Oreochromis niloticus: one gene and its partner. The protein of the gene in region 1 purifies or fractionates together with the protein of each later gene. This does not show direct contact. Links are inferred from orthologs where the notes say so. Each region holds a gene or a part of one and is shown in the gene's direction. Other genes may lie near its edges. The genes, in order: pln2 and atp2a1.

Region 1 (16,632 bases):
ACTGTGACTCAGTGCACTCCCCCTAAATGAGGGTCCCATTCTGAAAAGTAGCTGTCGCTTCCTTTCTGTGTTTCCTGGAAGTATAAACTACAGGCCTTGTTTTTGGCCCCAAATCCCATTTGTCTGCAACAAAGATAAACACTAGTTAATGTATGAGCACACAAGAAAAGTGAAGCCACGAAGAAGGTCTGTATTCTGGCGGCACATCATTGTTTAGCCGTCATATTTCCTATTTTTCCCTTGTAATCTCTGGGGGAAAAAGCAGCTCCTCCACCATGTAGCTCTCACCTTCCCTCACGAGGAGCTCAAAGAGAAGCAAAAAGAGGGATAATTTTAGGTTTTATTGGCATTGCTAAGTGCTAAGTGTCCCAGCTGCTTTTAATCTTAAAATATGAAGATGAATTCACTTCTGTGTTTCAGACTTAGACACAGACAAGCGCTTTGTATAAAATCCAAACTGCAGTCCTGATATCAGAGTGAATACAGCAGGTCAATCTGGGTTTCCATTTTCAGATGCCTGACAAGTGCGCACAAAACTCCAGTGTACTGGCTTTGCGTTATTTTTAGAGGAACGAGTGTCCCAGGACATTCCGAATTTGAGCGATTGTCCGCGGGTATCTCCGGGGAATGCCGTCCTTTGGACTCATTGGATTTGAGTGATTATTTTGGATACGTGACAGAGGGGACAACGCCAATCAGGTGCTGCGGATTTGTGGGGTATTTATATCGGGAGGCCCAGCAGCATTTATTTTATGAGGTTTATTGAAAAGTATGATGCCCGACCATGAGTGCGCCAGATTAGTGCTACAACAGTAGCCTGCTGTGGTTACTTTTGGCCATTGTGGTCCATCAGGGGGCTCGGTTAGAAGTCATTTGAGTCACTTTAGGTGGGCCGGATTTGTAATGGCTGCAGGATGCCAGCTATTGTCACTGATGGATTTGTGGTGTGTCATTCTTAGCAGGTTGAGTGTGTCTGATTTATTTTAGTTGGCTAGATGAGGTGGCTTTGTTGATTATTTAAGGCAATGTGACAGATGGATACTTCAGACTGAGTGTATTTTTGATATTAGGTCATAGGGATGGATGATGGCTACTCTAGATTTAAATGATTGATTTAAGTAGATTGGGAGCTTTTGATTCACAGTAATTTAACACTGACACCACTGGTATCTGAGTTTGGTAGCTCTTCAGTGGGACTTTTGATCCCTGAGGAGGAAACTCTTTATCTAAGCGGTGCAGTATCCCTGGGATGTGAAGGATTCAGTGTTTTGCTTGAGGATGCCTCAGCAGGCTGAGAGAGTTATGAGATTAAGCCTGCATGTCTGCAGGATGTACACTATGGCGTCTCCAGCCAAATGTTCTGAGCCACACTCTGGAAAAGGTTAAAAGAACCAAATCAAAAATCACCGAAATCTAAAATCAATCTCACATCAGTGTTTTTGGCTACAAAAACATGGCATCTGCAGGATTTACCCCGTGGGGTCTTTGATGCCTTGTGCACTCATGGTTCAGGGTGGGGTTGAACACAAGCCTCTGCAAGGACACACATGTTTAACTGTGGGACATGTGCTACACTAATACACCCGCTGGCATAAGCCTATAAGGCCATGAGTAAAATTACTCTTTAAGAAAGGCAGCTAAGAGATTAAACTTTGCCAGCCAAGAACTCAGAGTTAAACTTAGAGTTTAAATATATAAACATATAGTTAAAAAAATGAGTAAAATATAAAATATCATTAATGGGGGAAAAAATAATCCAACCTCTAAGGTTTTACATATCAAGACACAAAACATTAGTTAGTTCTTACCAGGTCTTTAACTTTCAGCAGACTCTTCTTTACGTTGTTGCTTCAGTTCATTGAGCTCTCTCAACGTCACACACGGCGTTTCAACTGGGTTGAGGTCTGGACTTTACCTTCATTCTTTTCCTTTTTTTCATTGTAGATTTGCTGCTGTGCTTGGTATCACTGTCCTGTTGCATGACTCAGTTTTGACCAAGCTTTGTTTGTTGAACAGATGATCTCAGTTTGACTCTAGAATATTTGGTATTCACATGAGTTCGTCGTCAACTCAATGACTGCAGGGTGTCCAAGCCCAAATCATCACTCCTCCACCACCGTGCTCACGGTTGGTATGAGGTGTTTGTGCTCATATGCTATGTTTGACATTTGCCAGATGTGGCACAATGCATTATGGGAAATTCACTAACGCTTACCCTCCTAATCCCTATGGAACCAGTAGTTGTTGTTCATCTCAGGCTGTATTTATCTCATTTTAAGGTAAGGACCAGATAATGTTTTATTACGTCCTGATATGTAAAACTTTAGAACTGACATAGAGTGTACTGCTGTAACATCAGTATCAAATTCCACACAGAACTTCCACAGATATTTGGTCTGAACATGAGTTTTTCCCAACAGATATTAATTATTAAGATGCATAAATAATAATTATCTGATGTCACAAAGAGCTGAAAGATTTCCTTGTTTCTATGGCACAAAGAGAGGGATAGAGAACAACAAAAACATACTAAATACTCAGAAAAATATATTAGCATTGACAGTGGATAAATTGCAATTCCTAAAAAAGGCATTAGCTCAGAATTTCACAATCAGTGTATCACAGGAAAAATCACTTTCCTGTATGTGTCATTTGTTGATCATTCAGGCTGACATGTTTCCCTACAGGCTCAAAGAGGCTTTCCCTTCCTTCATGTCAGGACTGATCATGTCACACATACAGTAACTGTGTTGCCTGCACCTCCTAAAAACCACTAAAATGTAAAGAAACTACTGGATCAACTGTATATAAATGACACATTTTTTAGCTGTTCAGCTGACAGCTCATATACATAACATGTGACATCAGCACCTACACACAGGCACACACACCCAAACGTGCATCTCCCACTGCCATTTAAATATTAAAATCACTGCAGGTCTTAATTGCAGACATTAAAGATCCAAACAAGTCATTAAAATTAGATCAGACCAAGGTGTATGTGGTCTGTGCAATTGGAGCAGTCTTGTAATCACATTAGGCTGAGTGCATTAGCGTGAATACTGATGAAGAAATTGCTGTGTGAGAAATGCCAGGACATGCTTTGCAACCCTGCTCAGTAAAGGATTGATGATTAATTTTAACTTGGCTAAAACCTGAGCTTGGCAGTCCTTTCAAGATCTTTTAGGTGTACATCATCCGCTATTGAAAGCAAGGCATTTCACATATTTAGCCCCACTGGTGACGAAGGATTCAAGTATATATTGCCTGCAAATGCTCAATAAAACTCTTTAACCCACCTGAGTTTCTAAATGTGATTTTTCGAAATCTAATCATGGCTCCAGAAACACGTTAATGTCATTAGAGTGAGTCGGAGAAGAGAGCTGTTGCTGCGTGTCAGTTGTTAGCATTGTTCCTCAGAAGCCCATATCAGATAAAGCCTGCTCTTAGACGGGGCCTCTGGGGAGAAGCTAGTTGTGGGCTTCTCTGCATAGCTGGCTATATCTGGAGAACAGAGAGGAGGAAGAAAGAAAGAGCGAGAGTGAGAGAATGTGTGTGAAGCCGCCAACAGCAGCATTAAGTCTTCCAGTGTAAACACAGCTGATGGGGTAAACCCTTCCTCCATCCCTCTTCACCCCTAAAATGCCCTCACCCTCTGTTATCCTCTATTTGCCCATCTATGCATGCATCCATACATCAATATGCATAATTAGGACAACTTTATCAACAGAATGACAAAGAAGGTTTAGAAAGCCTAATGAATGCTAGGAAAATCTGCTAATATGTAATCAGTTAGCATGTATATTAGCTCGATGATGAAAGACAGCTGCCTTTTGTTAGCGAATGCTTACTCAATACTTATTCTATGAAGTATGTAAGTATATATTATAGACTTATCCATGATATATTATAGAATTCTTCTCCTGGTTCCAGTGCAAACTTCACAGCCATCCTCCCATGTTCACTAACATCCACACAAACCACTGCATGAGCACGGCGTGTGAATGCTGGCGATCTGCCCCACTCTCTCTGTCTGCGTGCAGTATTTCAGGAATTCCACTTACATACTTGTTTTCAACAATGTGTGGTTATTATGTGTGAAGTAGCTGTGAGATGAGTGAGTAACTGGAGCATTGTTGTGCACATCAAGAAGTGGTCACTCTTGGATGACACTATCCACTCGTTAAGTGATGACATATCAGCTGTGCTTCTGGGTCCTATAGCTCAAGTGGTATATGAATTTTTCATGTACTAGTGACTCACCTGGTGTGACAGATGGATCATCACAGATGTTCGCTTGACTGAAGTTTGGTCTGTTTTTAGCATCTTTTTCCTGCCACTCGTCTCTGCCCCTCAGAACCTTCCCATTCGTCCTCCATCTTTGCTCTGCTAATGTGTTTATATTATCCTAACCATAGCTCTGTAGCTAGACACCAGGTAGCAGACCATTGTGTGCCAGCTAGCCCAACGTCAATAACCCTACAAACATTGCTGCTGTTCACGTTCACTGTAGTTATTCATGCCCAGGTTTACTGACCCAAGGACTGGTCTCAGACTGGTCAGTGACTGCTTGGAAATCTCTGGTCAGCAGGTAAACCTATGTATTGGACAGTGGTGGTTGGGGGTTGCTGACTATTATCATGTGAAATCATTAGTTGTTAATATAGCAAATTTTCAAAGAAGCTGCTGGACCTAAAACCTCTTTTTTTCATTACTTTGATCAGTGGCAGATTGCTGTGGGTACCCGAAGTTTGCAGGGAAGACGCCGAGTGATAGTGAAACAATGAAAAGAGTGACACAAACCAGAAATGGAGACTGTTAGCCTTGAAAGCAAACGTTGTGCTTTACAACAGAAACCAACACTTTAATCAAAAAGCGCAAGTTGTACTCCGAAGAGGGACAATCTCTGTTTCTGGTTTGAGTTGCAACTTTTGAAGTTTTACCACTGCTCGGTGAATAGTTTACAAGTGCTTGCAGACAAATCTGCAGCAATTTGCAAGCAACTAAAGCAATTGCAAAGAGGTTTTTAGGGTACCACTAAATACCTCTTCATCACCAATTTCTTTTACCAAACAATCAGGGAATATTGACCGGGGGGTCTCGGATTAGTCTCTTGCCTGTGTGACTGAGGCCTAATACTGACTTTTTGTTGTCTTCTGGATATTGTTTGTTTCCATTTTTTAGGGGATCTTCGCCTGGATTAAAATAGTCCATGGACCAGCTCCAACCACCTGGCTGTATTTTGCCTAAGTGCAAGGTATGGGCGTACCTGTCGCCCTTTATTTCATTTTGGTGGCTAGCAGAACGTAACAGAAATAACTGCAGTGGTGATGAGATCTGCTCAAAGACAAGTGTGTTCATTACAGGTTTAACCACAAGCACCTCCACTGAAATCTCTGGAAGGTGCAAACGTGAGTGTGAATGGATGTCTGTCTCTATGTGTCAGACCCGTGACCGATTCTACAGATGCTACTGTTAATTTAGAAAATGCTTCAAAATATCTCATAATTAATTGCCAGGTTACATTTCAAGATGGCTGCCAAGTGTCAAATCTTGCATACATTGTTGTTGTCTTTGAGCTGCTGTCATTCAGATCCAACACTCAGGGCCTGTGGATGTACTTCAGATCATTAAAATTCATTATACAGTTTATGAAAAAAATCTATAATACAAGAAGTTCATCCTCTGGGGAACATGAAAGCTTCTACTCAAATATATTTTCTTTGTATGTGCGCAGCGAGAATTTTGAGTGAGTGCAAAACCTTAGACTGCTAGAGAAAGGGCCAGGTGTGTTCATTACAGGTTTAACCACAAAAGTTTAAAGTGCAGTATTTTCTTTTTGCGTCTCTGTTTAAAAGAGCAAATCTCTGACTTCTGACTGGTAGCAGCAGCAGCTCTGTCTGTTTTCTCTGCCCTGCTGTGGTTTTCTTTATATGAGTCAAGCTGTTTCTTTCCCTCTGAATCTTTCTGTCTTGCTAGTCGTGGGTTAGAGCAGTCTGGTATTTCACCATGTAAGGCTGCAGAGCTGCACCACTCTAGGGATTTAAAAAAAAAAAAAAAAAGGAGGAAACTATTTTCCTAGTGTAAGAGATTTTATAATTACTTTTCAGCTGGACATAAAGGCTCTGTGTGCTCATGAAGGCAAGACAGAACATGATGATGACAATGAAAATTAAGTGCAGAGACACTTAATCTACCAGATAAACGCAAATATTTATCATCACTTTCAAAGGACTTTACATAACAGGAGAGAAGCGATTATTTTTGCCAAGAGTGTTATTTTTAGACTTCCAGTGACAGCAGTGGGCCCAGTTTCAGGAGTGTTCCCACTCCCACACTTCCACACCTGGAGGCTGTCCAGTGCAGCAGGAGCTGGATCTGTCCACAGCTGAAGAGCTTTCTCAGATGTGCGAGAGCCTACCTCAAGAGCACCTCGGAGCTGAAAATGATTTGCGCATTCCAGACTTAGAGTTAGATTTATCCCTTCAGTCCTGGCATCAAACAAACACAAAGACACAATGAGCTCTAACCCTCAGTCGGCCACTGGCACCTCACCACTGCCCAATGAAAGCCCGCCTGCTGATTATCAGCAGTAATATTCTGTTGCCAAAAATCAATCTATACCTAGCATATGTCAAATATATTTCACATTAATACATCAGCTTGATGCCAAATTCTTTTTTGTCCTACATATGCCAAAGTCGGTCCGTCTAATAGATCAGTACTGACTTTTTAGAGCAATTACTGATAGATTTTTAGTTAGTAGTTTGAAATCTACCTTTATGGCAACTTCAACAACTCTAAAAAGACCATCTGCACTATATCTGTCATCCCTCTAACTACATAGTTATTGGAAAACATACCTTTTAGGCTTCAATTTTAGTGTTGCTAGCAGGGGTTAATTCAACTGTCCTTGATTCCTTGAGAGTTACTGCTATAGTCTATCCAAACGTGATAGCCTGTCACGTGTTTGGACACTTTTAAAACTCAAGTGATCGAATATAACCCAAGAAAACTGAATGTATTGATTTCCATATTACTTTGTACCATTATAGTTCTGACAACCAGCCCTGTTTATCCATCCATAGCTGCTGGACAGTGTATTATCATCTGGCTACTGGCTTTAAAAAACAATCAGCTCTTCTAAAAATTTCCCGTCACCGTTGAAGTCAGCGCAGCCGGTTTCTCCACCTGATACTTTCCAGACTGCCTTTTAGAGATGACGGTCATAATTTTTGACTGTTTGACAAGTTTTCTCCCCTGTTACGAAATCAGGGTCGACAAAAGTTTTCATCCAAGGTAGCAAAGGATGGCCCAGGTGCCTCCAGACAGTCCTGCAGGTTAAATGGGGCTAACCAAAGACTTTCAGAGGTTACTAACCCTGCATGGATCACGACAAGCAGGCTTAAAAACAGTCTCTTAAGAACACTCATAATCTGTACATTCAACAACATCTGGACCCTTTTAGTCCCCAGATAAATGGCTAATTTTGGATTTCAGAATGCATCAGGAAATAATGTCCCAAGTACAGCACGTCCACTACTCCTTAGATTTAAATTCAGTCTTTCTTACTAAACGTCCTTTTCTTATGATTTTGTGCACAACAAATTCTTCTTCATGAACAGTTCTGACTGTGCTTTTGACTCTCGGCTAATATGATATTATTTTATTATTATGTTAATTTTCTATTTACAAATGTTCCTGAAACAGTGGAGCTGTCTCCCAGAGGGAGGATCAAGGTTCCCCTTCATGTTTGGGAAAGATACAGCTGTCATAAAAGATAGAACTATCTGCTTGCCCGTGTTCTCGGATTGTTTGAAGTGTGTATCCATGTGGAGTAGAGACCAGCAACATCAACAAAGCAGACTTCCCAGTATGTGACTGACAGCCTGTTTACATGCTGATTCCCCTTATAAGGCAGATGCAATGCTTTCTGGGCCACAGCAGGGGGGTTATTTTTACTTTTTACAGACTTCTTTTTGAAACCCTTGTCTCGACTGATTTCTCTAAAGTGGAGGATGCTGTCCAGGACTTCACACACTTCGCAAACACACATACACACAATGATAAAAATACTTTTTTAAATGAAATTCATACAATGTCAGGTAGACCCACCTTCACAGCTAACGAATTTAAAATAGCTTCAAAATGAATGGATCTGATAAGCAGACTAGCTTTCACAAGTATTACTGTGACACATTAAATTCACATCCAGGCAAACAAATCTGCTGTTTGTTCTCCACCAGCTGCGAAACACAGAGTTAGCGAGTTAAGCAATAGAAGAGAAATAACTTTCTCGTGGCTGCTTCAACAATTTCAAGGTCCCAGAGGATCAATGATGTGGTCATGGCCAAATGTATACTGTAAATTTAGAGGTGTCATCAGCTGTTCAAAAAGCACAACACATGTGCCAAGTGTATATCAGGCTGCCAGGATAATGAAGACAATAGGGTGGTCTAGGTGTGGTATTTGATCGGAAGCCAGATTTCAAGTGATCGCAGGGACGTGTTTGGCCCCTCCCAGCAGCCACGTCATTAATGCATTAAAGAAAGGATAAAGAAAGCACGCATGGTGAGGATGGCATGGCAGTAACACATAAAGCATCTCTTTCTTCACAGATGGGCACAGTGCAACAGGACTGGTGTCCTTCTAAAGCTGGCAAATTTTCCACATTTCCCAAAATAATTTTCCCAGAAAACAAATCTGCTCTAGGAGTGTGGCTAATACGTCAGCCATTTAGCCCAGAGAGCTTAAGAGCATTACCATGCTTTCCCTGAAAAATCTTAAATGAACAGTAATACTGCATCATCAATAATAAACTATTACAGAGCCAGAAACAAAAAGTATTGTAACGTCTGCGTATATGACTGAGTTGTTTTAAACGAGGGAATGACCTCGCGATCTCAGCTTTCAGAACTCTCACCCAAACTTGAACCCTGAAATGCAGCGGTACGTGCCGGTGGCTGCATGTATAATTCAGGAGCCCTAATACAAATTTGGTATCCCCACTCTCCTGAAATCTTTGCTGGGATGTCCTGCCTCTCTCTCTCTCTCCTTTATTTCTCCCCTCCCTCCCTCTCTCTCCATCTCTCACTGTGTTTACAGCCTTGGAGAGGACGGCATATCTGACATTTCTCTCTCAAACTCCAACCAGCTCTCTTCTCATCTGAAAGGTAAGAGCCAGCATCCTCTGAGCTGCTCTGTAGGAAGGCTGACAGAGAGTTGATGATGACAAATGATGATACAGACAGGATAAAAGCCCAGTAGGGTAAATCTTGTGATAAGAAGAGTCATTAAAACGTATTATTATTGGTAGCTGAGTTATTTGAGTCAGGTACTTAACTGGTTAGGGACATAAAGGACATTTGTACTTGCAGAAGTTAAACGGTTACAGGAGATGTTTTATGTTAAGATATTAAGGAGCACGATATGAATCACTGATTCTTATAAAGTCATTGCTCACTTACAGTAAATACAGCTTTGTAGAGAGAAGCAGGGGGAACAGGGACTGGGCTAAAACTCCCAGAGGGATAAAGACTTATCCCAGATTCTTACATTCCTATCCCGAACACATGATTTTATTTAAAAGCACTGAGGAGTCAAATCAACTCTATCTTAGTAATACTTAATGCTGCAGTACGATATACAATATTTCCCAGTGTGGTCCAGGAGAATTCACTGTATTTCTTTTTTTTTTTTTGCTCCATTTGATAATCTTATTCTATTTCTAGATGTGTTTCCATTAAAAAAATATTAAGAAGAAAAAAATTTTAAGATACTTTTAGATGTATCTTTACTTCACAATGACCTCTCAAGGAGATACAGTACATGGAGCGAGTTACGCACAAAAAAGCAACACTAGAAAGAAGTGGGTGGTAAGATTTTCTTTCTGACATGTGACAAATGCAAAATACACAACAGTTGGTAAAAAAAGAAATCAATTATATTTAATACTATGAAACTATGTTTATATCATGCTATACAATGCAATATTACACATGTATATATTTTTAGACATGTTTATTTATGATAAAGACCTTAAATTTTGTACATATATATATATATGCTGCCAAATTTAAAGTGATTTATGTGAGGTATTGGCTCCCAACAGCTGCTATCAAGGAGTGGGTGCAGCTAGCCATGACCCAATTAGAGTAGCAGGACAACATCAGTAAGCCCATGCATCTGTCTAACCTACATACTTCACAGCTGTCAATCATTTTCTAAGAGGAAATGCTAACATTACACCAGCTACTTCTCTTGCAAGTGCTGATGTTGATTGCAAAGACAAAAAGCATCGCTAATGACTTATTTTTAGTGTCACTTTAGCCTCTAGAGTGGGCAGAAAGTGGCGTGCATGTACCTGCGCGCTCTGGCACACAGCGACAAAACTCACAGGAGAAAAACAGAAGATTAATTCAGTTTATTTCAGTTTATTTTGAAACTATTTCCATCTCTAAAAACTTTATTACCAGTAACATCAGCACCATTATTTTCCACTTCTGTGTTGGTCACACTGGAGAAATCTATCGCTTGGCAAGAACGGCTAACAACAGCTGATTGTGTTTATAGGACAACGCGGTCCTTTCAGCAGCCCAGAGGAGCAATCTGCACTTTAACGGTGATAATCTAAAAATAAAAACAGATTTCTCCTCGAGCTTTGCACGGTAAATACAAATAAGCTAATCAAATGATTAAATGCACTGTGTTTTTTGCGTGAGGCCTTTTAGATAAATTTCAAAAGTAGCAGCAGAATGGTACAGTAAAGTAAAACATAGATTCATTTCCTAACCCGCTTTACTGAAACTGCAGGAGGTAAAATAATATCACCCAAATGATCTACTGCTTACTTTTTGGGGCCTTCTCCATATTAAAGGACGTGGCTAAGATGGGAAATTACAGTTAACCTAGACTCCTCTTTTGATTTGATTTGTTGGAATAATTTGAAATTGAATCCATCAGGTGTTGCTTTGAGATTATTGACTTTTGGTTAGGACACAAGATAGCATTCAGCTAATGATCCTTTATCACCAACACTTTTAGAAGCCTGGGAGCTTATTAATAAATATTATAATCCCTCAGGTTTAATCAGTAGCCCTTTTGGGGCTGACACAGTGGCTCATGTGTTCCATTAAACTACAAAATTACCACTGAAATAAAGGCCACAGCTTCAACCTAAATAAAGGTGTTGTGTTTGTGAAGTTAGCTAGACCATGTTTCCTGTGACACATTTGGCCCTAAGCCACTTGAGATGTATAAACAGGCTAAGAAGCAAAGTAGGAAATGATGACGAGTAAAGAGCTTGCTGAAAATAAGAAAATAGATGTATGCACTGCATCAGGATGTAGGTGTGCCTGTGTGGGCCAAAAAAGATGAAAGCTTTATATCTACTGTCAACATTTCATTTTCACTCATTTTGTGCAGTGGAAATGAAGATTATTTGCACTCTAGACACAAGAAAGAAAAGCACAGCCTGGCTGACTGACAGAGCTCAGTTTATAATGATGCGGCTGCAGACCAGCCGAGGATGAAGCCGAGCAGCGGTGGCTCGCTTGTTATCAGACACGCGGTGTGCAGACTGACATACAGAGAGAATGTAATTTCACCTCAAAGGTCAAACTACAAGCTGCACAAAAATGCTAATTTCTCATATAAAAAGTGAGAAAGGAAGCAAGGAGGAGAGAAGGATGAGTGGAAGTGGAAGGCTCATGACCTCGGGCACAGGATGATTGAGAGGAACAGAGCGGGGCAGGGAAACACCGGGGCGGATGAATATTAATTTCTATAGGTGTAGTTTGAGCTGCTGTCAGAGGGAAGCCCAGAATACAAACCGTCTGTGCAGAAGACGCACAAGCAAAGATTTTTCTTGATTGCTTCAGTCCAAACACAGTTTGTCTGCAGACCACTAGATGGAGCTGAGGAAATTCATTTTACTGTTTAGTAAAAATGGACATTTTTAGTGATAAATATGAAGTGAAAAAAAAGTTTATTTGGTTTAAAAAAACAAACATAATACTTATTCGTGAGGATTGCACATGTGTTTAAATAGTTTTGTATTTTATAACCTGTGTCAGCTATACTCAAAAAGCATAGTTGTGTCAGTCTGAAAGCTTTCTGTCATTTTAAATAGTTCTATTTAGCATTATTAGCACTTTGACCTTCAGATCAATCTGCTGACCTTGAAGAAGAGGTCAGAGGTCAAATGTGACAAGACATTTTAAATCTTTATACTGTACTTTTTATATGTTGACTTGTAAGAATCAGTAAGTTTTAAGGCTTTTTGTCAATTTTCGACCAATAAATCTTTGAGTTGACCTTGAAGACCTCAGTGGACGACATGACCCCGCTCTACACCCATACAACATTTTACCAGCATGGATACAAAACATTTTGAGGTGTTGTGTTTACAGACAATACCTCAATAAAAACCCTTTAATCACAAATAATGAGCTGAAAGAGCGCCACCTGTTGACCCAAACCAAACAGGACTTTCAGCCTGTCCCTTTCAGGCCACCCTGAAGCTCCATAGCTGATAAAGTCAAAGCCTACTTCTACATGGAGCCAAATATTTAGAATCTAATGAGTTTAAAAGTCCAGACTGAACGCAAACGCTCTAAATCATGGGTGTCAAACATAAGGCCTGAGGACCAGATTTGTCTAAGCACAGACTCAGCACAGACAGATTTCTTTCATTTACTACAGCAGCATTATTTTATCACGTAGATAAAGAGACGTACTGTTGAAACCACTCCTCGTTCTCTTATATTAATATATGTCAGGGATTCAATGTGTAGTTAAATCTCTTCACACTGATAGAAAGAGGAGTTTCACTGGCTGCTTCTGTGGGGTGGAAGAAAAGAAGAAAAATCATAAACAGATGAGAGGAAAAGTTCAGCCTGATTACTTTCTGATCATTCTTGGTGCATTTGTTCGAGGACATACAGAGACTTGGAGGATTTATGAGTAACAGTGATTGCTTGTGTTGATGAAACAGCATATGTACGTCCTGAGGAGCTGGTCAAACATGGGCATGAGATAAAACAGGTGATGATGATGAGAAAGACACATGCAGGACACAATCAGCAATTCTGTGCTCGTCACCTGGCATGAAAACAGCAGATTTTAGTGTCTTTTTCTTCTTTAATCAGGTTAATACGCTGAATTAATGAACTCTGTCAGTACGCCTCTACACACAGGTCAAAGCTAAGACACGACTGTGTACCGGTCGATTACTCCAGAAATGAAACCCCTCAAACCTCCTTCTTCCAGAGCCACGCTACGCTCCACTTCAGTGAGGTCTGATCAAGCGGGCTGGAGAGTTAACCCGTGGGGTCTGAGAAACTGTGTGCACAAGTGTCAACATGTCAAGTGATAATGAGTGACTCAGAGGAAGATTACGGGGGTGGAAGGAAAAAAGTGAAATGATTAAAAATAGCCATGGCTGCCTTTTTGCTTTTATTTTTACAGACACGAGGAAACAAGATTTAAAAAAAAAAATAAAAATGGCACATTAGAGTTTAAAAGTGCAATTCAAGTATCATAAGCGTAAGTCATAATATATGCAGTATGGGGCACTTTTCCTTTGGCGCCCCCCTGAGGATAAACTTGAAACTTTGCACAGAGGACCTCCAAACTCCTGGATTACCACCCTAACACCTACACCTTCTAGCAGCAAAGCTCTCAGGTTCCTAAGCTGTGTGTAGATCGCTGAGCCTCTTTTTGTAATGCGGGATGTAATGTACAATGTACCCAGCAGGGGTGCGCCTGTGTGGATTTTAATCTTGTTAAAAATAGAAAAGACCTTGGCACAGCCGATGCACAAGTGGGAAGATTTTTCTTTTCTTTTTTTCGCTGTGTGCAGGAGCCTCTAATGCGAGAGCACGGTAACCTTGTCACGGTGCCTCTGATCTGGGGAAAGTCACAGATCAGATGACAAAAGGGGATTTAAGCCAGTGTCGAGAGCCTGCAGCTGCACTGTGTGACGTGCTTTTATTTCCTGCTTACGCACTCTGCTTACAATCTACGACCCCCAGCTGATTGGGATGTAATGACAGAGGGGGGACAAAACATATTATAAAGTCATGAGAAACTTTTTTCTCCTCCCTCTTTACAAACATGTCCCAGGACTGTGGTCATGACATTTGTGTTGCTGCCACTCAGACTACACTCCAGCTTAACACATCATCAGGCCTCAGCTGGCGCCTCTTGAGCAGCCGTCTTATCATCACACTATGTAGTGCTGATATGGAAAGGTCGCATGAGGGGACGAGGGCCTGGGGTGATTCTGAAATCCCATTTTTCATGTGTTTAACAGTCTCTTTTTTTATTTCGCCACTAGAAAAGAGAAGATAAAGCGACTGCCACCTGACCCGAGCTCATCTTCAGATCAACACCCCCCCATCCCCCCCATCTCTACAACAACAGGCCCAGCAGCCTGACCTGAACTCCCTCGTCTCCCAATCGAGCCGATCAAACTGTAACCGGCCTTCATGGAGCGCGTTCAGCACATGACCAAATCGGCCATTCGCCGAGCGTCTCAGATCGAGGTGAACCCGCAGGCCAAGAGGAACCTGCAGGAGCTGTTCGTCAACTTCACCCTCATCCTCATCTGCCTGCTTCTCATCTACATCATCGTCCTACTGAGCAGCTGAGAGACACGTGCAGAGAGAGAGTTTGGGCAAAGATGAGGGTTTCACTGATACATGCAGATATATTTTTAAAAAAGGATAAGAAGCAATAATATAAGTGGCATGTATCAGCTTAACCCCGTTTACCAGCAAGGCGCGGAGAAGGATCACGGAGGCATTGGCCAAACTCTCAATTCACAGCAAAGCTCAAGGGTGATGTGGGAGCTGATCGGGAATCAGCTGCGCTGTCTGTGTCTCAAGGGAATGATCGAAAGTGACCCGACTCCAGCAGTTTGTAACCTTCACCTCTTCCTGCTGCTCATTCAGATTCACACTGTGCTCGCTTGCAGAGGACAGCGACTCCCGCTATGCACGCATAAGCACGAGTAAGTGCAGCGATGCTGAAATATCAATACATCACCAATGTTTGACTTCTATTTCCCACAAGCCTACCCCCCTTTACTTCCTGTAAACCCCCCCCCAACCCAACCCCCACAGCAGAAAGATAAACAGGCTGGAAATGTTTTTTTTCCATGAGCGTTTTCACGTCTTTCTTGGTGTGCCGCTGACAGAAACCACAGACAGATCACAGGAAAACACTGAGGTTTCGCTGAGGTTTCCTGAAACTGCTTGTTGGTAAAAAAAATAAAAAAAGCTTTCAGCAACACAAGTTTAGCAAAAGGTAGCAGGTAGAAAGTCTGAGATGAGCGTGCCTCAAAATGTAACGTTGCTGCCCTAGAAAAGCTGCCATGTGTGACGTCCGTTGAGTACTTGAGTTGTTGCCACTCTTTATTGGCCCATAGTTACATCAGATGGGCATACACCCAATCATGGAGGCTACAGTTCACTTACATACGCTGCTAAACCTGCTGTCGCCTAAAGCTGTAAACCTGCTGGTTTCACTATCACTGACATTCAGATTTCTTCACTGAGGACGTCTTCAGAAGAGAAGAAGATGAAAAAATTAATAAATTTGCAATTCTATTGAAATTTCAAACTCTGGCGCCGCCCAGTGGTTATATCACAAAAGACATGGTGGATCATTTTAAATGTAAAATTATTTTTACCCTGTTTTTCATCAATTCTGCTGAGAAATTTGACACATATCTTAAATCTCCATGGCATTATTTATCAACTGAAGCTCTGTTATCACTGTCTGCTCACTCCCAAAGGTGCAGCATGTCTGCCATTTTATTCAGTGTGTTTCTTACTCTTAATTAACATATATAAACATACTTGATATGATACTTAGGAATGTTTCTAAGTACTGCAGACCTTTAACGAGTGTGTGTGAAGCACAGTCTAACAGTGACAGTGAAAGGTTTGCTTTACAGTGTGCTTCACAGGTACATGCAGTCTATACACTATCAGCTGTGAAAGAAAGCTCACTTTGCATGGTGTGATTACACGTAGTGCCAATTTCTTTACTCAAGCTAGACTTTTTGTTTTAGGCGCTGGAATAAAATACCTAATTATAAAATCATGTCATTGCTTTTGAAATGTACTATGACTAAAAATGTTTAAAAAAAAAAATGAGATGCACATAGGTGAGTATCAATTAATTGTTTTTTTGTTGTCTTGTATGTACGTTTGAAAAACTACCACCTGATTTTTAAACTGTGGAACACCAAATAAACTGCATGTCAAAACAATTAAAAGTAGTGTCTGATTTAAGTGACAAATGCTTTGTCTTTATCTGTCCGTATGGTCCATACTGCTTACTGTTTTGGTTTTACAGCCCTTTGAACGCCTGCCTACATTCAAGAGCTTGTTTTTTCTTGACCTGTGATCACCAGAACATATGAGAAATCTCCACTGCCACCCACAGCCAAGGGACTATTTACCCAAATGTGAATTGAATTCTATTTAAAAAAAAAAAAAAAAAAAAAATTATTATAGATGTTCTATTTAGCAAATACTCAGAAATTGAAAAAATGCATTGATTTATCAGTAATGCTTAAAAACACTCATTACATTATTCAGTTAATTATTATTATTATTATTG
Region 2 (16,412 bases), on another chromosome or scaffold:
CAGCCACCCTTAGGAAAACCCAGAAACTATTCAAATGGTGGTTAAATCAGCTAAAAGTCGTCAAAAATCGCCACTAAAATCACAGAGGAGGTCATCTTCATGGGGGAAAGTGCACTTTCTTACTTTCACAGGGAAAACTGCTTAATAAAAACGCCACCTCAGTGTTACAGCCCCGTTATGCTGAAAATCCCAGGCATCTTGATTACATTTTAAAATAAGACTGTAAGTGTGAACAGCGCTTCTCTTCAAAGTGAAGGCATCGCCCTGTGTGATTGAGGAGCTGATGGACTATCCTGTAGTTATCTGAGAGCATCACTGCCCGTTCTGACTTAATCAAATTTACATTTGTTGTAAACAAGCTGACACGCTCCCTAAGAAGATGCATCAAATCATAAGTCATGGAGATTTGAAAGTGTAATACAAGCAGAGCAGTAGCTGCTACTGAGCTATTAATTGATGCCATAAATCTAATGCAAGAGTGGAGTCACCTCTGTAAACAAATCACAACCAGATCTTGGTTGTGTGTGCGTGTGTTTATGTGGCTTCACTGCAAAGTCCAAACAGATCTTCTGAGGAGGAAGTGGCTCTTTCTGTCCTTGGACCAAAGAGGAGGGAGGACGAGGGGCTCACTCAGAGATTTGGTGACATAAGAGAGCAACACGAGAGCCTGGAGGGCGTCCACACTTTATGTTCTCGGCGACACACTCAGTTAAGAGAGCGCCTGATGCTGATTTACTTCCAGGGACAGGTTTCGGGGCACGTGGCAGAGGAGTTAGGAAGTGGATGCAGGAGAGGGGAGGAATCACAGACTGGTGAAACAGAGAACACGGAGGTTTCAGGCGAGAGATTATTGAGATGGCAGGAGTTCGAAGCAAATTCACACTCATGAACTGGGATACAGCAGTCGGTCTTATAAATAATATCCATGTTTGGTTTGAATTTGGACAAAGCGTTGACCAGCTGCTCCGGGATTACTGTTTGGCCCAAAAGAAAAATTAAAGAAGTATCATTTTAGGTCAAATTAGCGATGCCTTGGAGGGGCAAGTTATTGGTTTATTTAGCTGAAGTAGCTTAAAAAAATAGATCAACATTGTGTCTGTTGTTGTCTTTATTTTAATTTTACAAAAGTACCAATAGCATTAATATGTCTCTAGTTTTGTGCCTCAGTCCAAAGATCGTAAAGTGTAACTCTTATCATACAGCAAACAGGGCTCCCGAACTAACAGGTCACCTCACTCCACATGCAGAAAAAAGTAAAATGAGTGAAGATCAGGAATGGGCAGTAACGCGTTACTGTAATCCGATTACTTTTTTCAAGTAACGAGTAGGGTAAGGGATTACTACTGCAAAAAAGGTAATTAGATTACTGTTACTTTCCCGTAAGCACGCTGCGTTACTGCGTAACTAAAACCGTGATTTTTTTGCAAGTGTCTCATGACAATGACGTAAGCGAATGCGACGTTCGTGGCAACAGCTGTGTGCACATCAACAATGGATAATATATCGAGTGCGGAGAGCGTTTAAAGCGTGGAAGTACTGACCTTACTTTGAGTTTGATTCCGTAAAAAGTGACAAAAACATTAGCGTCCGCTGTTCACTGCGAAAAAAAACCCCTTAACTTCCAAGCAAGCACTGAGTGCGCTACCACGGAATGGGAAATTCACAAACTCGCGGATTCTTCCACTGACCGCTGCGGCACACCTGCACCAGGGCAAACATCCGCCTGCTATACAGGTGAAAATAGAGCAACAGGACCGCTGAGTCTTTGATTTTATTTATTTTCTGCTGTGCTGGAATGTGCAGGAAATAGGTTTAAATGTTAAACAAATTTCTTCCAGTCAGAGAATGTTGCATATAATTAAATTTTTGCTTGATGCATAAAGTTAAAAGATTAAAACTAATAAAACAAGTTTTAAAAAGAGACATTTCCATTTGATCACATTTTGTATGATGGATTATGCAGAAAAAGTAGAATTGGGCTGAAAGATCTATCACTTTATTACCTATTCAGGTTGTAAATCGTGTTTTTAAAAAGTAACTAAGTAATTAATTACTTTTGAAAATAAGTAATAAGTAAAGTAACGGGATTACTTTTTGGGGAAGTAATCAGTAATTAGTTACTGATTACTTTTTTCAAGTAACTTGACCAACACTGGTGAAGATACAAAAATTGAGACTTGGAGTAGTGCAATGAATTACAGAGGGATTCACCTGGGAAAGTGGGGTTAAAGTCCTAAAATCCTGTGTATGGATGCTTGTTTCTGCCACTGGAGAAAAAATCGAATCAGCATGAAGTACCTGCTCAAACATTTCCAATTTACATAAGAATTTGGTCCAAAATGATAAAGTTTAAACATATATCATGAATGCTGTGGAATTTTAGCTTCATGTGTCTTGATGCATGCTCAATGGTCATGAGAATTTGCATATTAATGATCAAGGAACTGACCTCACAGCCCATTGTTCATTCAGTGGGCTGGTTTCAGTTATTATAGCTTCATACATCAAACACTTTTCAAGATATCTGATGTTTTTTAAGATGTCTGTCACTTTCAGGCCTTTTGTTCATACATCAAAATTAAAATTTCTCCTCAATGTCTCACAATTTCAAGTTATTGTTTCAGATTTGGGTTCTTTGTTGGAGGTTTTTGTTAGCAATTTCAAATTTTGAGATAATAACCCAAAATTGGATGTGATGTTTTTTTCAGTGGTGGAAAAAAGCTTCCATAGCTGTGTGAGAACGACTTGTTATGTGTGTAACACATAAAGAAAAACTATTTTAGATCCCCAATTACTGTGCTATAAAAGGTGTTACGTTTTGTGTTCTTTAGGCAGCACTGCTGTGTTTGTTTTGCTTCGTTTCTTTCATCATCTCCATTTCTACACAGGTGTAAGAGTGAATATTACCAGAATAATTTAATAACATAATGCATGAAAAAGTGCTTCACGCTCATCTCCACCTTGAGTCAACCTTCAAGCTCCAGTGTCGCATCTAGAGCGGGGGATCTTCGCTTGCAGGGTGTCACATTCTCAAATCTCCCCGAAAGAACACCGAATTTCTGCCATTGTGTCACAGCCGCCTGCCCACATGCCCACTGCACTATTTATACCCGACCAGCACAACTGCTGCTATAGGTACAGTTACAGTGAGGCACTTCAAACCACAGCTGCCCTTCCTCAGCTAATAATATGATGCAGTACCTACACACACAAACGCACAACACTCTGCTGCTGCTGCTACTTTTGGCCCTCATCATCCTCCCTTCCTGGTGCTTCCTGGATCTATCATGGTGATGAGCAGCCACATGCAGGCAGGCAGCCCTGACGTGCCCATCTCCCACACCGAGCCGCCTGCCAACGAGCTCTCACACACACTTGTTACATCACGACTTAAACTGTACCCGGTCCCAGCTACAAATCATTAAACACGTAACTGTTTCAGGTGAAAGGACAAACAAACAAGCTAATAAAACAGACGTTTAAGAGAGAAAAATGAGAAAATGAAATTTTTTAAAAAGAATTCAAAGCACTTTTTATCACACCTCTCAAAAACTCAATCACACACACTTTCATACATCTTATCTAACTTTCACACACACACAATCAGGGGAAATTGTATATTGTCCAAGGATACTTTAACATACTGACCAGAGGAGATGGGGAGTGAACCATCAACCCGCCAATTGGTATTTGAGCCACTCTGAAGTTTTCTGCATCAAAGTGTGTGTTAATGCAGTATATTTGTGATATTGTATGAACTGCGAATCACTGAACAATGACTTTAGCACCAGGGTGTACAGCACTCGAATCAAATATGCTGCGTCTAACGCATCAAACATGAGGATTTGATTATATTTCTTTATCACAGATACTCGTAACATGATTTGCAGACTTTTACTAAATTAATATAATGTGCATTTTATCATTATACTCTTACATTTTGACTACCTTCATATTTAAAATGTTGTTTTAGCTAAATGTGATAACAGCAGAGGTCTCGGGGTGAGATTTTTAAGACTATGGAGCACCGAGGGGTCGACAGTGAAGGACATCCTGTTTTAGAAGAACTGTGCCCCTCCTGTTTGTCCGTGATGCTGCGGGACTTAAATTTCCTTAAGTCAACAGTCGTGACACTGAACCCCGTGAGTGCTTGCACCTTGAAAGTGTGAAGTCAACCAAAGTAAATCTTATTGTTCAGCGCTGGAAAGAAAATGCAGATTATTTATATTTAAAAAGAATAATAGGAAGAAAAGCTTGTATTTTACATTTACACCACTGAGCTGCGCTTGTGTAATCAAGTTGAGTCGTTATCCAAAAATAGCTCGACAAATTGCGTAATCTGTCTCTGCAGTAAAAGTGTTCTTTCTAATTAAAATCTCATCACAAACACAGCCGGCTCAAATGATTTTACACGCATGATACACGCCTAATCATTCTTTCCACGTAATGATCTTAAAAGTGTCTTCTAGAAATCCCATTCTCATTGTTCAAGATCACACAAGAGCGTGTGTGTGCCTCTCCGCAGGCGGTGCAGCATTATCACTGCTGTGTTTTATTAGTATTAGAGCACAGTGTTTAGATCGAGGCGCAGTAATCTGATCCCTGGGGGAGATTGAGCTAAATGTCAGTGAGCCACCTTGAGCTTTGCACTGCTACAGCCGGGCCCACGACAGCATCGAGGGTTACAAGTGAAGCACACAAAGGAGGGTTTCCAACACAGACCGCAGCCTGCAGGGGAGACGGAGATAGACAGAAGCAAGACTGAATGTAAATGTAGGGTTAGAAAAAGAAAAAAGATGGTAAAGATTAGAGAGATAAGAGTTAAGAGGAAGTAGGGGAGTATTGTATAAGTATGACTTATGAGAGTGGGTGGCCACATCTGAGTTCACAAAAATGACCTTTGTTATCTTAAGACTAAGAAGATGTTATTATATAACAACAAGTATCTACATGTTTTTTTAAACCTGTGAAACATTTTATAAGAGGGTTTTAAACAGCATTAATGTGTGAATCCTTCATTTCTGACCATATAAATTACAAGCATGTAATTTCATTACAGTCCGCTGAATGTCTTCTGCTTCTTCTTCTGGCTGCTTCCTTTAAGGGTCGCGTCACTGCCTCCAGCTCACCCTATCCCTAGCATCCTCCTCAGGCACACCAACCCTCTGCGCGTCCTCCTTCACTACATCTGTGTATCTTCTCTGTGATCTTCCTCTTTTCCTCCTGCTTGGCAGCTCCATGTTCAGCATCTCTTATCCAGCATGTCCACTCTCCCTCCTCTGCACGTGTCAAAAACATCTCATTTTGCTACTCAGATGAAAGTATGATCTGTAAACTTAAACCTAAATGATATTTTTATTTAGTTCTTGGATTTTCATAGTTATGAATGTTGGACTTTAAAATAGAAAAATGACCATTCATCTTATTGTTGAGCTGTAGCTGTTCAACTTAACTGTACACTTTCATTTTCAGAAGCATCGGTCAGTTATTCTCCCCTAAAAACTTCAAAAAGCCCAAATAGATCAAATTTGGTCCAGTCACTTTATTTCTATAGCACATTTAAACACTGCAGACATTAACCAAAGTGCTGCACAGCACTAATAAATAATAAATACATAAATAATGCACTGTGAATAAAAGCTAATCTGAATCTAGTGTGCGTTTATTTAAGCATTTGTATGGATATAGTTGTTAATGACCTTCAGCCTGAGAACCAGAGGACAAATCTTTCTTAGAACATGGAGTGCTCTTTCTTACAGAGGTGCGAATACAGCCAGTGTGGGAGACCATAACGGACAAACGGGATTCATAGCACATTGAACCATAGCTTATACACTGATGTATCCCGACTGTGTTTGTTTGTGTTTGGTAGTTCTTTTACTTTATGCAAACAAAAGGCCGTAAATAGGGCCAAATCTTCATATTTATCAAAGAAAGAGAAAAAACGTTCCCTTTACAGGTGGTTGAGACAAACACAGAGCATCTTTCAGTCTGACATTCATGAAGTGATTATTACTCATGTGCAGGTGGTGTAATAATATGTAATAGTACAGTATGTAGGGAATTTTCTACCATATCAGGTGTCTTGAAACACAGAAGCAACCTTTTTGATAAAAGCCTGGTCGTATCGGCCTAAAAAGAAACATGAAGCCCGCGGTGTGTTAACAGGTTATTTCTGCAGCCTCTAATTGCCATAACCTTTTTTTGCCGTTGCTGGTTTTAAAGACTTGTAAGTCAATTTGCAGCTGATAACAGGTCCCAGCAGGGTTCCCGTCTGTTTACACTTGGCCGTGCATTATGTTTTCAGCATGGGCATGCACATGCATTTTCACACCTGTTGCTTTGTCATGTGATATATGTGACGACAAGGTAACCGAGACCAGACCAGTTGGGACCGTGGATGTATTATAAGAACTGAGTACTGGACTCAAATATGGCACCTGCCCCCCCTAGAATGACAATTTCTGACCTCACACACAAACCAAAAACTTGCAAGCCCCTGTGTTGTGCTCTGAGGTTCGGAGTGCTGTAACATGACAAGAGGGAAGGTGGAGAATGGGGTGATACATAGTGAAACATTACAATAGGTTTAAAAATACAAAGAGGAGTCACCTGTAATAGACTGCCGTGCTGCCTAGGGTGTATCCCAGCTCTCGCCCTATAACAGCTGGGATAGGCTCCAGCACCCCCTGCAACTCTGAATTGGAAAAGCACTTGGATGGATTGATGGATGGATGGATGGATGGATGGATGGATGGATGGAAATTCATCATAAAACTATAAAAGTCATTCATCTGCTTTCTGAGTCAGTCCACAAGTACATTTGTTTTATTGAAAAAGTATTAATCTCCACTGCATTCAAGGAGTGTTTCTTCAAATTGCTGCACGTGAGTTGTCATAACTGCTCAAGACAAGATAACCTTTATTAGTCCCACATTTTTAAAATTCATATTATTACAACAGAAAAATTAATAGAGTTAAATAGAATAAATAGAAGCAGTATAATCTATAATCTACAAAGAGTCACAACTGGCAAAATGAAATAAACATATGATTAAATAATTAATTAAATGTATCATCAGTTAATTACAATTGGAAAAAATAGTTAAATATATACACAATTAATAAAATATCAGTTCATTTCATGTAAAACATTTTAATTCATTAAAATGTTATTTTAATTTTGTGTTTTAATAAATATTTATTCATTTCCAATTTTAATTAATTAATGAAGCATGTAATTTACTATTTAATGATCGTTCATGCATTTTGGCACTGTAACAACAGTACTATGCAAAAAAAGAAAATATATGTGTGTGTGTGTGTGTGTGTGTGTGTGTGTGTGTGTGTATTACCAATTAATAATACTTATTATCAGAAAAGTTATCCATATATCTTCTTTTGATATATGGATAACTTGATAGTAAACAGGTCCAGTGGAATAAGCACTAAGATATTTTAGATGACCTTATATTTAAAACTATATTACTTTGCGGAGTTTCCTTTGAGCCTTTGATAATAGTATACTGTGTACTGTGTACCAAAGTGGCCATGACTCCTCAGTAAATGTTTTATTTTGTTAAAACCCTTGAATTAAAGTTGAAAGTCTTCACTTCAATCACACCTAGATCACCTTACAGAGGTAAAAGCAAAAGAAAAGGTGACACTCTCCATAAACACATGGTTTAACTTTATTATCCAGCCCAGTTTAAAAAAAAGTTGGCAGTGTAAAATGGTGATAAAAAATATATTGATTACCAAACTGTATAAAAACTTATATTTAATTGAAAATAGTGCAGAGCAGGCATATTGAAAAGCCACAATTGATGAAATATTTAATGAAATGTATCAACAGGTGCACCTCAGTATTAACACAGAACATGAACTTTGAAATATCCATCAGCAACCTAAGATTCTGATTCATCAAACCACTGGATATTTGGATGCTTTAGGTGATCTTGTGCTGGTAGAAGACGTACATGTGCCTGGATCACACATCACACTGATGTGGGGTTTATTTGAAGGGTGGGATGCATGACCATTCAATTTTGGTTTTCAGTCTCATGTCCTCCACTTAATAATTTCTCATCTGAGAAGTTTAAGAAGATGAAAATTTTCAAAACACATGAAACAAGTCAAGGGGCCTCCAAGCAGTCCAAATCTGAAGGTTGGGAACTGCTTAAAAATCAGGTACTCGAAATATGCCTGAAAAGTCGACATCTCTCAGTGTCTTTTACGTTTCTTTGTCCACGTGTGTCTACAGACATGTGGACACACACGTGCCCACCAGTGTCCATTCAGACAGTCTTTATGTTGCCTCTCCATGCTAACCATGCATGTTCTCTTATGCACATCTTATTTCCAGCATGCTGGGACCCCTCTGCAGTTGCTGCCCTCTACCCCCTCCACCTCTCCCCCTCCCTCCCCCTGCCTATTCTTTACCACGGGGGCCATCCCTGCCCACCTATTTGTGACGTTCTCATCCAATGAGAGGGGGGTGCATGGTGGACAAGCACCAATGGGGCAACTTTTTCATCGCTATAAAACTTTTCAGGACAGTTTGCAGGGTTGCACTTTCTGTCGGTCCAGGGCTCCGAGAGGAGAGCAACAGCCCAGAGAGAGAGAGAGAGAGAGAGAGAGGGGGCAAAGTGAGAGCAAGTGTGAACGCACAGGGAGTTGCCAGTTTTTAATCCTAATCCCACTCTTCAAGAAAGTGGTGGGTAGAATGCCGCATCATTTGTTTTACGTTTCAGTGTTTGGCCAGCTGTAATTTCTCTCCATTTTTTTTCTATCCCTTTTGTCTCGAAGCCTCTCCGTTTAAGTAAGGATGGAGAACGCACACACCAAAGAGTCGGAAGACGTTCTGGCCTACTTTGGCGTCACTGAAGACACCGGCCTGTCACCTGAGCAGGTTAAGAAGTGCCTGGAAAAGTATGGCTACAATGGTGAGGGAAACAAAAAGATGGATGGATGGCCTGATGGATGCATGGATGGAGCACTTAGATGAAGCTTTTGATGCAGAGTGGAAAGAAAGAGCAGTAGAAAATGATGGTGAATGACATGATGGGGAGGTCCAGGAGAAGGAGTACATGCATCAGATTTAGCTTGAATGAGAGGCGGCATATGTACGGGGTGCCTCGGAGGTTAACAAGATAAAATGGCAGGAGCAGAGACACTGAGGGAAATGGGAGGGGAAGGTGAAGGAGGACAAGTAGCGGCAGTGTCGGTTTCAAAGCCGTGTGTGACTTTGTGATGCTGGTCTAATTAAGGGAAACTATCCGACTGACACAAAGCAGGAGTTATGTTTGTGGAGCAGGTGCCTCAGGGTGTCAAGTTCCTGACAACTGCTACTGGTTTTAGTTTAGATTGGGGGTAATTTATTTGTATTTTGAAACTGAGCGCACGACAGTCAAATATGTTGACTCAAGGTCAACATATTTACTTTTGTCTCGGCAGATGGAGTTTGCTGAGTTGCAGTCTCATTGAGCTTTATAAAGAAAGCATCAGAGGCCTCTTTTTTTCTTGCTTATCACAGCAGGGAAAGCGTAGGCATGAATGTAAATGTACCCACATTACTGCTTGGCTTAAGGGTTCAAATAACCGGAACTGGAAAATCATGAATATTCCTACCTCTGCTTCACATTTAATTCACTGGGAAAAAAAGTCCTTAATTCAGTAAAATGAAGAGGAATCATGTTTTTTGAGAATGCAATTTGGAGTAAAGTGTTACTGTTTATTGGAGCAGGGCCTCAGTTTGGTGAAGAAAGTGTAAATTGTGCAATGTAATGCTTCCTTTATACTGTGTATTTTGTACTCGATGGTTTTACGGTCAAATCGATTGACCTGGCTGCATGTTTCACTCTGCAAATATCAGAACGAATGTAGTAAGTGGTGTGCTTTACTAATGTTCTCTGTCTCTCATCACCAACAGAGCTGCCAGCAGAGGAAGGTGAGCCAACCCGAAACATTACACACCTGCAAGCTTCCTTTAACATCCCTGTACAGCTGTTCCTCTCACTTCCTGTCATGACTGCTCCCTTGCGTGTGTGTTTACCACTTGTTACTGACTCCAGTATGGTAATGATGTATCTACACCACACACTGCTCGAGAAACTAATGGATTGTGTCCACATCGGTTGTGCATTGAACTCAAACTAAAGCAGCAACAGTCTTTGCTGCTGGTTTTGGAGCAGCCCAAAGTGGTGGGAGGATATTAAAACAAACAATCATCATTAATCAAATATGTGTTTTCACCTAAATCACAGTCACTGCCTTTTCCATTTAACCCGGTTTGTTCATCAGTCTTACATGTATAATCACAGGAATTCTTAACACTGTATCAACATTGAATTTGATTTAATAGATGGGCTATGTCTATTTATTTGAATGTGTTTATCAGGCAAAAGTATCTGGGAGTTGGTGGTGGAGCAGTTTGAGGACCTGTTGGTCAGAATCCTTCTACTGGCAGCCTGCATCTCTTTTGTGAGTTTCATGATGCAAAGCATTCGACCATCCATTTATCCAATGCAAAGCACCTACTTATGTAATATTCATGAAGTGTTCAATGCACAGAGCTTGCTCACGTTCAAAAATTTCTTCTTCATTCTTCATCATCTTGTAGTGAAAATATATATTTTTCTATTTGTGTAGAGGTGCCCCTTCCATCCCTGTCTTACATTTACTATCACCAGATCCATTCAAAAGTAAATGGAAAAAGCAGAAAATAACATAATGTTTCAAGCAGAGGAAGACTAGCCACCACAATGAATGAAGGAAAAGGACATTTTCTCAGCAGTGCATGTAAAAGTTGTGTTTGCTATTTCAGTGATGGACACCACATGTAGTAGATTCTCTAATCTCTTCCTGTATTTCAGACATCATGTGTCTAATTACTTTTCTTTTCACTCTTTTGCATAACTTTCCAATTTACCTCAAATATGAACATTTTCTCCAAGAAAATCAACTTTTAGATATCTTTCAGATCACACGTTTGATGGGTTATTTAGGATTAAGCTGAGGTTGAGCAGTTAGAAAGTCTAGTTAGCAATTTACATTCGTTGTCCTGCAGCAGCAGTTGTCAGTGGTGAGTTGTGTTTCACCGGTCTGCAGTTCCCAGAAGCCGTACAGTAAAAGTGCAAGGGTCTCAGTTTGGTGCTCACACCTGAGAAGGCCTGAAACATTCTTGAACTCTGCCAGATTTGTGGGCATATTTCCTTTAAACTGTGAGAAACATAGTTTAGCACTGTAGCAATGCTTAAGGTACATTTTCTCTCGATTACCAGGGCTGAATGTATCACAGAGTTATATCAAGATGTTAACGGGGGGTGGGGGGGGGGGTTTGAAGCTAGAGCTAACCCTGCTCATGTAGATGATTTTTAGACTCTACCTCTGATTTAAACTTCAGAATATGTGGCAACTGAAGTTAAACACCCCCAATTTGTTGCCTTTTAAGTCTTGATTTTATGTTACGGTTTATCAACCTTGTTCTTACATAATTGGGGGCTTGTCTGGGATCTGGAGCTGCATCTCTTTTGACTCTTTACCAAACACAGACACACACTTCAGCTGACAAAACATCATGCACATCATCACGTTATTAGATTACCTTTAGTGCCACTCTCATTGACACCAGGAATCCCTCTCCCCTCCTTGTTGCTCTCGCCAGTGCAGTTTTATGAAGGCGACTAGGTTCTTCACATTGTTTTAATCTTCGATTGCTCCCCTCAGGGCTCCCTCTACAGCTGTCACTATAGCCTTAGAAGGCCTGACGTGCTGCGTGTGAAATAGCGAGAGAACAAGAGAAAGACGAAAAGAGAGTGGCAGTGCATGTGCATGGCAGGACCTTTATTTTAAGAAAGTCTCAAGCCAGGACGAGAAACTATATCCTTAGACAAAGGTCAGGGATGGAAGGAACGAGGGATTGCTTGCAGCAGCAGGAGAGAGTGAGAGACAGCGAAGAGGGCGGGGGGGGCTGGGGATTGGGTTGCACAATGGCATTGTCTGTTACAATGACAAATGAGCGCAATAGATTCAGAGTCATATATGGTTTCTAAAAGAGAGAACACTAAATACTGCAAATACATGGTCATCCTATTCATACACACAGGAATGCTCGACCACTGCAAGGTGTTGACAGGCCCTGACGCTCAGTCTGGAGATCGATTGTGTCTTTGAAGAGAAGCACAGTGAAGACAGACTGGAGAGAGCAAGCAATCAAGCCTATTTTTTTTTAAAAAGGGGTGAGAAAAGATGTGAGATGAAAAGCAGGCGAATGGAAAACAAGGAAGACTGTGATGCTGAGCTAAATGCTAAATGCTATAAAGGAAGGATGGGAGGACTTTACTCTTTTCTCTCCACTTGGGTCCATGCTCCGGTGGCCTGCAACTAATCTGTGTCAGTGTCAACACGAGGCCTTTCCGAAACACACCAGCATCAGTAACGTGTAGCTCCTGCTCACAGGGGCGCACACGTGCACGAATATTGGTTTAGAAAAAAGTCACATGGGGAGGATTTCATACATAGAATATCATACAGCACAACAGTGACAAAGAGAAATGTCATTTGATCCTACAGCGGTGCAGAAATAGCTCAGAGCCGTGACAAATATATGTTTATGTTTTATGCTACTCAGCAGTAAAAGATAATACTCTCACCCTGAGCGACAGGTGCACAACAAACGTAAAGACACTTTTGTATCACGGGCTTAGCGATAGTAACAATGTATAATTTTAACTCGAGAGGAAAGTGTCGGTACATTAAATCACCAAACCCAGCAGTGGAGCGCTCATGACAAGCTAGCAGTGACATAAAGCAAAAATCCCTTTAAATAACCTGACAATGTTTCTTGCATGTGTAGTATTTAAGATGAACGGCACCTCTGTAAAAGAAAAATGGACCTCTTAGAGTTTTTTTTTTTTTTACAGATATTGTGTATTTTTGGTAACACATTATAATGTGGCCAATGACTAAGGGTGTAATTCCCTTGTAATTAAATTGAATGTTATTATATTTTCTTAGAAATTATAATATAATAATATTTACCTAAAAATCGGAGGAATTTCAAAAAAATTGAAATTCAATTTAATAACTGAATTTTCCCACAGTGTGTGATATCTGAAGTCATCATTTTTATTTTATTTATTATCTTTTTTTTTTTTTTTTTTTGCCTGAATCAGAAAAAATCTGTTAACCCTGTCATTTACTGTTTTATCACTGACTTAAATGATTACCAGCTCAGTTAATTGATTGTGTAGACATAACAAGGCTTCACTGCAGTGTTAAGGACATGAATTGGATTACATTTGCTTTCCATGAATTTCAATATTAACTAAGAGAGGAAAAAAGAATTAAAGAGGCTGGGATTTGGAACTACAGGGTGAATCGATTAGGGATGAAAAACCAACAAAAAAAATGAAAATAGATTCATTTAAGTAATTTATTAAGTAAAAATGGTCAATTATGAGAGTTTACTATTCTACCAACGTGATCCCTGGATTTTGAGTGTAAGATCTGCTAGCCAACTGTTCCACAAGGAAGTTTTAGGGTTTTTTGGTTTTTTAGTAACAAACTTTCATCAAAAATTGAATCTTAAGGGTTTCATTTTGACAACTTAAGTGTCTCATCATCAAATTTTAAACAACAACTTTTTCAACTTTGGACTCTGTCTGTGTGTGACTGTCTCAGGTGCTGGCTTGGTTTGAGGAAGGAGAAGAAACTGTGACTGCCTTTGTTGAGCCCTTTGTCATCCTCCTCATCCTCATCGCGAATGCTGTTGTTGGAGTGTGGCAGGTCAGTGAGCGCGCATGAATACACACACACACACACACACACATACAGAAACAACTGCAACCCCAAGGCCGCATACCTGCTCCTGAATACTGTCTTTTCCCCACATACACACACCTAAATAGACTCTTATACTTAGAAACAGTCACGCCCAATAAATCACGCACATCGGCGGCCTGCTCAGGCCTTGTGTCCTTTACAGAGAGCACACACGCTCCTTAGATCTCAAAGATCAAGCAAAGCCAGAAAGAGAGGCATGACGTAAACAGGAGGTGAAAAGGTGAAAGGTTAAGCCAGCAGGGCGCGTGGAGGGAGGTGACGGACCGGGTCCCGTTCCTGCCTTGAAGGTTCAAACTGCTTCGTTACAATCCACACTTTGCGATCCTCAGTAAAAATACAGAGGGACGATCACGTTACCGCAGGCTTGCGTTTTGTGCGTGTGTGGTTGAGAGGTTCATATCAACCCTGCGGCAGTCATTTGGAAACTATGCACAAGGATTCACACATGGGGGATGAGGAGGAGAATGGAGAGAGGGAGGGCAGCTGGCATAAGTTGGGCTTTACACTTTGAGGCGGTCGAGGGCAGCCTTGGAAGAAACCACAGACTGAAGCGGACATCAAGCTGTCTGACTTCTCTGTGCCGCCTGCTTTTACTGGGAAATAATTCAACATGATGAACAAGAAACGACTGTGAGCTTTTAATTTAAGGACTTCAACCTGCTGCAGCACAAGTCCTGCAAAATTATGGTTGCACAACCTCTCTTTAAATTAGATTATTTAAGCTGATGGACTTTAATTAAATACAGACATCAGGAAAGCCTCATGATAATGGAAAACAATGGCTTCAAACATCATGCGCATCAGTCAGTCACTGGTATCAGCAACCTTATCCCTCATTTCTAATGACAGTGCCTGATGATTATCTGCCACAGCAACTCTGGGTGTTTAAAGAAACTATGAAAAAAGGGCTAAAATAGCTTTTATTAGTTTGTATAAGTATGTTTTCCTGGAATAAAACAAAATCCGTGCATTCTGCCCTCAAACATTACAACATAGAGTGATATTAATTAATATTTATTATGGCTCAGTGGTGCAGTAGTTAGCACTGTAACCTCATGCCAAAAAGGTTCTGGGTTTGAATTCACTGACGCCTGTGTGAGTTTCTTTTAATAACAAGCACAGGAAACAGGAAAACCAGGGCTGAAAATGTGGGACTACAACAGAGGCAACAAAGACAACTTTTGCTTTAGGAACGTATATAAAATCAATATAAAATCAGAAAATACAGGATATTTTTTTAATTCATTCGCTTATTTTTACCGACCTTTAGAGGTACCTCTCATTTATATTTTGCTTCTAAGATGCCAGACTTTCTTAAAATGTTATAAAGCAATAGTTCTCCGTGCTTTCGAAGGTCTTTGAAATTTTTTCTTTGAAATTTGTTTTGCTTTTCCACTAATTTTCAGTCCTGTCCTTGTACGTGACCATTTTCAGGGATGATTTTTTTTATTTTGTTATGCACCTACCTCAAGAGCTGAACCAATTTTTAACTCCCACTTTATTACTAGCAGCCAGTCACATCACACATCATACATTCCAGTTTCTTAAGTTTTATCTATAAAAAATGCGATAACACAGTTTAAATGGCATAAAATAGTATTTTGTACCAACAAGGTGATGTGAACACATGCACAACAAGCTCTTCTTTGAATAAATAACTCCACAATTTCCCATTTTCTTAGCAAAATATAAAGAAACAGGTGGTGGATCAAGACTTTTCCAGAGCTATGTATACAAAATACTTTTTATATAACACTTTTATACCCTAACCGAGAACTCAAAGAATTTTTTACTACAAACCTCATTCACCCATTCACATAAACAACTTTATTCTATGTCTGGGCACATCATCTAACGCACACACAAACACTCAACCTGTTTCATTTATGCATTGGGGCAACTTGGCCAAGGACACTTTGCCTGAAGACTGGAGCAGCTGGTTTTGTTAAGCTTTTTTTTGTTATCATATCAAAATATTTTATATTTAAATACATTTCTATTCAGGTACATTTAAAAACAATGTACTGTGCATCTTTTTAAAATAATGATCTTTTGATTAAAGCCTTTTTATCTGTCTAAAAACTGACCTTTAACATGTCACAGTGCTGACAACCATCATGCAAAGGACTGGAACATCAAGGAGCTGGAATGATTATGTGTTTGCTCTGTGTGCACTTTTGAAACAGGAGCGCAATGCAGAGAGCGCCATCGAGGCCCTGAAGGAGTACGAGCCTGAAATGGGGAAAGTTTACAGGGCAGACAGGAAGAGCGTGCAGAGAATCAAGGCCAGGGAGATCGTTCCTGGTGATGTAGTGGAGGTCTCTGGTAAGCTTTACCTGCTGCGTTTATTCAAAGCCTGTCCAGCCACTGAAATTCCATAAATGTGATCAGAATTAAGATGAGATGAACTCCCCAAAGCAGTCTACACATAAGCTTGTTCTAAATTCCAAACCCTTGACTGGAATGGGTCATTTAAATTCAAGTGTTTGAAATCTGAACTTCTCAATTTTGCAAGTGTGTGAATACAAGAGTAGTACTGTGCTTCAAAATCAACATGGCCCCTTATA

The links.
Region 2: the proteins of pln2 (region 1) and atp2a1 purify together in Homo sapiens (affinity purification with western blotting, with the first as the bait; 3 studies listed by BioGRID). This does not show direct contact. The link is inferred for Oreochromis niloticus from reciprocal best matches to the Homo sapiens genes PLN and ATP2A1.

Annotation. Positions count from the first base shown.
Region 1 is NC_031986.2:13,220,923-13,237,554, reverse strand, and holds pln2 (cardiac phospholamban), read left to right. Parts: upstream 1-9,013; 5' UTR 9,014-9,173; intron 9,174-14,338; 5' UTR 14,339-14,489; coding exon 14,490-14,651; 3' UTR 14,652-16,301; downstream 16,302-16,632. UniProt on the Homo sapiens protein: Reversibly inhibits the activity of ATP2A2/SERCA2 in cardiac sarcoplasmic reticulum by decreasing the apparent affinity of the ATPase for Ca(2+).
Region 2 is NC_031969.2:13,940,582-13,956,993, forward strand, and holds the start of atp2a1 (sarcoplasmic/endoplasmic reticulum calcium ATPase 1), read left to right. Parts: upstream 1-8,555; 5' UTR 8,556-8,716; intron 8,717-8,808; 5' UTR 8,809-8,827; coding exon 8,828-8,945; intron 8,946-9,931; coding exon 9,932-9,949; intron 9,950-10,399; coding exon 10,400-10,482; intron 10,483-13,683; coding exon 13,684-13,788; intron 13,789-16,031; coding exon 16,032-16,170; intron 16,171-16,412. UniProt on the Homo sapiens protein: Key regulator of striated muscle performance by acting as the major Ca(2+) ATPase responsible for the reuptake of cytosolic Ca(2+) into the sarcoplasmic reticulum.